Linked DNA regions of Oryzias latipes. The protein of the gene in region 1 interacts with the protein of each later gene in a biochemical or structural test. Links are inferred from orthologs where the notes say so. Each region holds a gene or a part of one and is shown in the gene's direction. Other genes may lie near its edges.

Region 1 (4,308 bases):
CCAGTTTTAACATTTCTCATTTATTCAGAGCATAAAAAATCAGGCAAATTGGAAACATAAATAAATAACTTCTGGTCAGTCAATTCAGAAAACTAAATCAATAATTCATGCAGAAGGAAATTCTGAAAATGTAAGTAACATTTTGAATGCCCTGAATAAAAATCACAGATTTCACCATCCTAGATGCAGAACAAAAAAGAGGAAAACAACATTTGTCCATATCAAAGAACTATAGTACTGCATAGAATGTGTGTTTTTTTAGGGTTGTCAATTTTGTTTAATGGATCTACATGATGTAATTTTTCCCCCCCAAAAAATTATTTCTGCAACTTCAAAAGGAATTGCCCATCTGGGACAAATAAAGTTGTTTGAATTGAACTGATTTGAAAAAAGAAAGAACACTTCTTTAAGAGAACCTTCAGTAACATCATTTGTTGTGTTTACAGTTTGCCAACAACAAAAAAATTACTGTTCTTAAATTCTTCTTGGCTAAAAATATAACAGTTGTGAAAACCTTTAACTTATGTAAGAAAACAACTAAATTACCTCTGAGCAAAAAGTGTTCTGTGTAAGTATACTATACTTACTGGTAGTCCATACAAAAGGTGAGGACGTATTCTTGAAGTCTACTTTTAATGTGCTATCTTTATAATGTAAATTTCCCACTGTGCTCGTCCCCAGCCCCAATAACACACAGGGTTGTGTCAGGAAGGGCATTCTGCGTAAAAATCTCTGCAAAACCACCTGTGTGAATCAGTGAAAGCTAATTCTCTGTGGCGACCCCTGAAGGGACATGCTGAATGGTGAACAAACAATCTATTGTAAATTTAAAATGTTGCAGTTTAATCTGAGTATTTATTGGTATTTAGTTAGGATAATTCCCACACTACACATAGATGGTCTGTACTTGCTATATTTAGCATGTACTTGGTAAAATAAACTGCAGGTTTACTACATTTTGCTGAGGGACTTAAAACATCAGGCATGCAGCAAAAAATAAACATGCAAACAAATCAAAATAAAAACAACTATTTAAAATGACATCACAATGTTTTCTGAGTGTTGGTAGATTATTTATTTATTTATCTTTTTATCTATTTAGTTTGTTTTAAACAGAAAACCAACAGAAGAAAATCCACTCCTCGCAGTGTAAAACGCACTGATGTTCGTTCTATGTATGCTGAAATGACAACATACATTTTCTTGTTTTCTATTGGTCAACAAGGAAAGCTACTTTAGTAAGAGGCTATGTGATTGGTTGCTTTTATCCGGGGACTTGTTTGCTTCAATAAAACGACGTCTGATTGGATATGGTCACTTTTTGTGATGTATCATTGGCTATGATTACACCGCGGGTCCTTGAATCACCCATACTGCAATGTAGAAGTCACCGAAGTTGCTAAAAAAAAGTCCGTTTGTAACGTTGACGTTCAGAACGTCCACAGTACTCAGACGTCATGACATCCGGGGATTTGTCGAGCGTCCTGAACATCCTCCGGTCGCTCTACAAACGCACGCGGACGCTGGAGGAGTTCGCTGACGGCGTTGTGTTCAGGGAGGGACGGAGAGCTGCGCTGCTTCAACCTTCGGACACACACAGCTTTAAGTCTTTCGTTCGGGGAGTGTTTGTGTGTTCTGATGAGGAGCTGCAGGACGTCCCGAGCTGTAATCAGGTAATAATCCCGTTATAATCTCTGGAGAAGATCTGATTTCTTTTCTCTGCTGGTTTCACGAACATTTCTGAATTTATCTGAAGTGTTACGTAGCATCAAACCGTAATAACGTATTTATACTCACTAATAAAACTGGCTGTGCCATGACTCTTATTGATCCGAAATATGGTGCTAATTGTTCTCTTATTTGGGCTAATCTCTTAAATTTTGACAAAGCTTTGTGACTAAATTCCGTCTGGAAATTTCCTGGACACGTGCCCGCTTTTTTTTCCTTCATGTTTTCTCTTTAACCTCCTCAGACCTGCACGTTTCCAGAGCTCCTGGCTTTTATCCTCAACAGCCTGAAAAGGAAAAGGAGGAGAAATGTTTTGGCCCACGGCTACAACTTCCTGGGTGTGGCACAGGAGGACCGGGATGCAGACCACTTCCGCTTCCAGGGAGATCTGTCTCAAAGCGCCGCCTACATCCACAGCAGCGACCTGTGGAAGAAGGTCACGGCGCGCCTCGGCACAGACGTCACCCGCTACCTGTTGGGGAGCTGCTCCGTCTTCGTGCTGGCACCTCCTTCCTGCGTCTTCCAGATCTGCGGCGTTCCAGCGTATGACAGAGTGTCCATGACCACCGCCTCCAGCGGGTTTCTTCTCCGGCCTCCGTCGAGGAAACACAAAAGTTTTCAGGTCGGAAAGAAGACACGCTCAGCGAACCTGACAAAGACAGGCTCCGTTGGAGATGTGGAGGAAAGCAGGAAGAGGAGGAGAGTGGAAAGTGAAGTCAGCACGAGGAAAAGAAAAAGAGAATCTGAGGAGGAGGAATCAAGAGAAAGGAGGCGCGGCGTTCATCATGAAGAGAGACGGCAGCATGAAGCCGTTCTTGATGAGTCAACACTTTCAGGAAAGTCTGGAGAAAACGATGCAGCTGCTGTCAAGCCGCCTCCTGAAACGTCAGCAGCTCCTCCGCCTTTGGAGGGAGGTCCCAGCTGGAGATCGGGGGCGTTCCCGCCTTTGCCGTCCTCCCAGTGTTTTATCCGCACGTTGGGGTTCCTTTACGGCGGCCGTGGCATGCACGGCTTCTGTCTCAACAGGAAGAGGAGAACCGCTGCTGGACCCAGGCGCTTACAGGGGCAGGATTTGGTGAGACTGGTCTTCTTTGAGGGTCTGCCGTATTTAAACGGACAGGAGAGGAAGCCGAAGAAACTCCCCCTGCGCTACTTTAACATGGTCCCGGTGTTTGGCCGGCTGCTGCAGAGGCACAGAAAGTGTCGCTACAGCAGCGTTTTGCACCGGATGTGTCCAGTGGTTGAGCTGAGCCGTGCGGCTCAGGGGGAGCTGAGCTCGCTCATCCCTCAGCACTGCGCGCCGCATCGGGTCTACCTGTTTGTCAGAGAATGCCTCACCGCCGTCGTCCCTGAGGAGCTGTGGGGCTCCGACCACAACCGACTCCAATTCTTCAGCAGAGTCAGAGGCTTCCTGAAGAGCGGCAAGTTTGAGAGAATCTCGGTGGCGGAACTCATGTGGAAGATAAAGGTGATGGACTGTGATTGGTTGAAGCTCCGCAGGACAGGTGAGAGGATTGGAGAGGATCTTCTGTTTGGTTCCTCTGCTGTTTTCATGAAAGATTCTTCTGAATCTCCTGTAGCAGGCCGCTTCCCCCCCAGTGAGCTGGCCTACCGGACGCGGATCCTGAGTCAGTTTCTGACCTGGCTTCTGGATGGCTTTGTCGTGGGCCTGGTCCGGGCCTGCTTCTACGCCACAGAAAGCGTGGGACAGAAGAACGCCATCAGGTTCTACAGGCAGGAGGTCTGGAGCAAACTCCAGGATTTGGCTTTCAGGTTCAGACTCTCCAACACAAAACCTCCCCTCGCCTTCGGATCAGCCTTTGGAACCATACCTGTGTTTATGTGATAGAAGGCACATCGCTAAAGGCGAGATGGAGGAGCTGAGCCCAGCTCAGGTGGCGTCCCTCCCCAAAGGCACGGTCATCTCCCAACTCCGCTTCATTCCCAAGACGGACGGGATGAGGCCCATCACACGGGTCATCGGGGCAGACTCAAACACACGGGTGCACACAGACGAGATCTCCTCTGTCCTCTCTTAGCATGCCGGGTTCCTAAACGTGACCTTCTCCACAGCTTCACCACAAGCGCATCCGTGACCTGATGAGCATGCTGCAGGCGCGTGTGCGCTCCGCTCCGGCGCTCCTGGGCTCCACCGTCTGGGGCATGACGGACATCCACAAAGTGCTGCGCTCTCTGGCACCAGCCCAGAAGGACAAACCACAGCCGCTCTACTTTGTAAAGGTGAACCTTGTCCTTCCAGGAACATCCGATGTTTTCCTTTCTCCACCCGTCTCTGACGGGCTCACCTGTGGGTTGGGCTGAAGGTGGATGTGAGCGGCGCCTACGACAGTCTGCCGCACGACAAACTCAAGGAGGTGATCACCGAGGCTTTGTCACCCGTCCAAGAGGAAGTCTTCACCGTCCGCCACTACGCTAAGATCTGGGCTGATTCCCACGAAGGCCTGAAGAAAGCCTTCGCCAGACAGGTGCAGATCCAGAGGAAACTTGGAGAAATGACTTTGAAGTGGAGCGTAAACAGAAAAATCCTGTTTGTTTCCAGATGTTTGCTTCCTGTTTTGA
Region 2 (4,426 bases), on another chromosome or scaffold:
ATTCAAAGTTGAAACTTTTTTTTTTCTTTTTTTTATGAATGCAACAAAAGCCAATAAAATACAGGAAATCTGTAATATTTTAACCTTGTGAGATGTTGGTATTTTTTGGGGTTTATGAGTCTAATGGATCTGCTAGAGATTTGGGGTTTTCAAAGCAACAAAATCCAACAATTTTATGTTGAAAAATGTAACAGATGTTAACTTCAGCAAGCAGTTAAAACCCTAGTTAGATCACATTTATGAATCATTGTGGAACTAGTTTTTAATAAAATAATAAACAAAGAAAATCCGTTGTAATCAAGTGGAGTGAGTGGGGGAAAAAAACAAATTTCCAAATGAAGCAAGATGTCACAACTTTTGCTTTTTGTTCATTTGAACTTCCACTGGAACTCGACACGAAACGGTAAAAACAGCTGCCTATACAAAAACGTGGGACAGAGTTTTATCGTGTACAAGTATTTTTTCCACTTGCTGCATGTCTATTGAGTTTTCTTGGGTGCACAGACCTCACAGCGCTTCTTTACGTTTCTGCTGACCACAACCTAAAATAGCAAAAAGATCAGACACGTTTGTAACATCTCTTTCTTGCAAAGTAAAAGTCAGACATTTATTGCAGCAGCACCACACGGTTACTTTAGGCCTGGCAGATGGTGGTTGGGCGGTCGGGTGGATGGGGCACCAACATTCTTCTCATTTGGACTGGTAAAGTATAAATAACTATAACTAGAAATTATAAGACGGATAATGATAAGTATGTAAAAAAAAACTCAAACAAAGCATAATAGGGGTGGGGGTATAAAAAAAATAGCCGAAACAGAACACTAATGGGGGGCCTTTCTGTGTGGAGTTTGCATGTTCTCACTGGGCATTTGTGGGTTTTTGTCCTGTTCCTCCCACTGTCCAAAAATATGTTTCATACGTTAATTGGTTACTCTAATTGTCTATGGGTGTGAGTGTGTATGGGTGTGTGATTTGTGGCCCTGTGACAGACTGGCGACTTGTCCAGGATGCTTTCCCTGGCCCCTGCAACCCGTGACCCCAAGAGGGACAAAGTGGGTTTAGAAGATGAATAAATGAATGAAGGAGCTTCCTTCTACTCTTTTTTAAACAATTAATCAAATTCTTATTGACAAACTGAACATGTAATGGATTGAATGTGTCATGCTGTGCGTGTAAGTGCAAATGTGCTTATATAAGGGCGTCATTTAGTCCTGTGTATATAAATGGATGTGTATCTTTTTATTACTTTTTTGTCCTATCAAATTCTGACTAATTGTCCTAAGTCTGATATGTCTGTGTATAGATGTATACTTTTGTGTTTGTCTTTTTAAGTATTTCCTTTTTTATTTTGATTCCTGAAAATAAACTTATTCCAAAAAGCTGCTGTTCTTGTCCTCTGAGGATTTGAGGTCTCACAGCGCCTTTCCCCTTTTTAATTAAATTATTTTTTTAAATAATCATTTATTTACTTTAGTAACCCAGAATTATTGTAAATGTAGACTATTTTAAAAATAACGCTATTTAAAAAAAAGGGGGAGGGGGTGCTTCGGAACGGGATCACGTGCAGAGAACGTCACGTGACTCCTTCGTCCGCAGCGTAAGCGACAGGAGCCGAGGAGCGACAGTCAAGGACGTGATGAAAACTCTGTGAGTCTTTCCTATAGTTTCATTAAAACGCGTATTATACATAAATATTAAGGTTCTGGTTAAATATGTAACAGTTGGATTTACCGCGCGGAACCTTGAGTGTTTTACTCATGGTGACCCACATTCAGCCACCGCTGACCTTAAAAGTCCAGCACAATCGAATCGTATCGTGAACAGCATAGATAAAAGCAATATTTATGTGTTCAGAAATAACCTTTTTGTCATGATCCACTTTTACTCAGAACGTTAAAATACACTTTTATATTGTGATTTGCTGTTCGGAGCTTCCGGGTTCACGTGGGCTGCAATTTTCTTCACACTAAAATAACTTGGTTTTTTTTTTGTTTTTTCTACTTCTGCAGACTTTTCTTCTCCATCCCATTTTTATTCAGCTCTTTGGTTTGGAGCGGATATCTGGAATATGACCAAGATGTCCTGTGAGCAACATTTAAAATGTTTTGTTGTTTAGATTTTTTTGTGGTTTTCAAGTTCTGTTGTGAACTTTTTTTTGTTTAGTTTGAGACCTCCAGATCAACTATGTTAGAATTAGCTTTATTTTGAAAGGGCAACTATCAATAATAGATATCAGACAAAAAAAAAAGTAAATAAATTAACAATCATCACTAATTTATACCCATATTTCATCCTGTTCAGATGTTTAGAGCTTCTCTTTATAGTTTTTTGTTTATTTAAAAAAGCTGGGTGCGAAATAAAAATAATTTAAAAAATAGCCATAGGATCACCTTCTGGCTGTTTTTCTAATTTTTATTTCTATCATCCTTTGATCATTTATAAATGCTTTAAATCTGCAGGATTCCAGAGGGCTGGACCCATGCGGGTCGAGTAGACCCGTCAGAGGAGCTGGAGCTGACCTTCGCTCTAAAGCAGCAGAACGTTCATCTGCTGGAGGAAACACTCAGACTGGTGTCAGACCCAGACTCAGCTCAGTACGGTAAGCAAGCTTTAGCCTGCACAAATCTCATTCGAACCTTCCAAATCATGGGTCACAACTTCCTGCTCCCCAGGTAAATATCTTAGCCTGGAGGAAGTAGCTTCGCTTGTGCGACCGTCTGAAGTGACCCAGAAGGTGGTGCGTCGCTGGCTGCAGAGTCATGGGATTTCAAACTGCCTCACTGTTCACACTCAGGACTTTATGCAATGCACCATGACTGCAGAGTAAGCTATTTTTGTTCTTTCTACACCGCTAAGCTGCAGTCATCACAGATATAGGCCTTCATCTCTGTGGAAATGTCACATAAAAACACTTCTCCCTTTTGTCTTGTGACACAGTTCCTCTTTTGGGGTTCATAAAAATCAATTTTTATTCTCAGTTCACGGAAAATCACAGATCAGATCTCGGTCAGAGTTGTTACCCGAAACACCTTTAAAATTGCACATCTTCGTTAAGTTATCAGTCATCATAACTGATATTTTTCTTGTAGAGGTTATTGTTTGTTGTCAACACTAAAGTGGCTTTTGTTGTTTTTTTTTCTCTAAAGGGTTGCTGAAAAGCTACTGCAAGGAAGCAGATTCCATCATTACATCAGAGACGGCCAGTCTTTGACGAGATCCTCAGCTCCGTACTCGGTTCATGATGACGTTCACCCACACCTTGATTTTGGTAATGACATTTCTCTCAACTACAAAATGTTTTGCCTTGAAACTATTTTGTTGGTTCAGTTTAACCCATAAGAACCCATGATGACATCAGTGCAACAGAAAAATATCAGAAATGGATTCTGTGGTCCACTTTGTTTGTGGTAAAATAGTCATAATTTTATTTGTACGAAATATAATGGCTCTGGGTTCTTATGGGTTAAGGTTCAGGGCTAATATTGGTTCTGAAACCCCGCAGTTGGAGGTCTTCACCGTTTCCCACCGAAAAGCCAGGAACCCAGAGAGAGACGCCAGCACTTCAAAGCGGGGCTGCATCTCGGAGTGACGCCTGCCATCCTGAGAGCTCGCTACAATCTAACGGCAGCCGATGTGGGATCAGCTCAAAACAACAGTCAGGCTGTCGCTCAAGTACGACTCTCAGATGAAGTTCTGATTGGTTAAAGCACTTTTACATTTTTCTAAACAGGTTTTCACTTCTCTTTTTAGTTCTTGGAGCAGTACTTCCACCCCGCAGACTTGGCGGAGTTCATGAACTTGTTTGGCCGGACGTTTCCGCATATGTCTCAGGTGGATCGAGTTGTTGGTACCCAAGGTGGAGGAAAGGCGGGTCTGGAGGCCAGTCTGGATGTAGAATACATCATGAGCACAGGAGCAAACATCTCTACTTGGGTCTTCACCAATCCAGGTCTTTAAACTTTGCTTTCGATCTCAGAACACGAGGAGGCGAACGTGTACATATCTCTGTTTTTGAATTGGAATGGATTAATCTATTAGTGGTTAAAAAGGAACCACAAAATGAAGCACAAAGATATCCTAACATGAAATATCCAACAAGATAGATGAAGCTAAAAACCTTGAAATTAAAAATCGATGTTCCTAGTGCAGGGTTCTACAGCCTTCAACACTTAAAGAGCCATTCGGGTCGATTACTTAATCACCACAACCAAGTAGGAGCCACAAAGTTTTACTTCACCCCTTTGAAAAATAAGACACTTATTCGTATTAATGCAATTGTTAGTATCAAATGGCAGCCAAAAACAGCCTACCCTACTTTTTTTTGCCTGTTTTCTCGTGATAACGACATCTGCTATTTTTTTATTATAAGAAAACAAAAGTCCAAGTTCCAAGCGATACGCAGTCCTTCCATAGGTCACCTCTCCTG

The links.
Region 2: the proteins of tert (region 1) and tpp1 form a complex in vitro, tested with the Homo sapiens proteins (2 studies listed by BioGRID and IntAct). The link is inferred for Oryzias latipes from reciprocal best matches to the Homo sapiens genes TERT and TPP1.

The regions. Positions count from the first base shown.
Region 1 is NC_019869.2:25,701,924-25,706,231, reverse strand, and holds the start of tert (telomerase reverse transcriptase), read left to right. Parts: upstream 1-1,215; 5' UTR 1,216-1,457; coding exon 1,458-1,673; intron 1,674-1,972; coding exon 1,973-3,233; intron 3,234-3,308; coding exon 3,309-3,501; intron 3,502-3,577; coding exon 3,578-3,731; intron 3,732-3,801; coding exon 3,802-3,969; intron 3,970-4,052; coding exon 4,053-4,214; intron 4,215-4,308. UniProt on the Homo sapiens protein: Telomerase is a ribonucleoprotein enzyme essential for the replication of chromosome termini in most eukaryotes. Active in progenitor and cancer cells. Inactive, or very low activity, in normal somatic cells.
Region 2 is NC_019880.2:11,941,853-11,946,278, reverse strand, and holds the start of tpp1 (tripeptidyl-peptidase 1), read left to right. Parts: upstream 1-1,549; 5' UTR 1,550-1,636; coding exon 1,637-1,647; intron 1,648-2,009; coding exon 2,010-2,084; intron 2,085-2,459; coding exon 2,460-2,599; intron 2,600-2,672; coding exon 2,673-2,823; intron 2,824-3,146; coding exon 3,147-3,268; intron 3,269-3,502; coding exon 3,503-3,672; intron 3,673-3,750; coding exon 3,751-3,949; intron 3,950-4,426. UniProt on the Homo sapiens protein: Lysosomal serine protease with tripeptidyl-peptidase I activity. May act as a non-specific lysosomal peptidase which generates tripeptides from the breakdown products produced by lysosomal proteinases. Requires substrates with an unsubstituted N-terminus.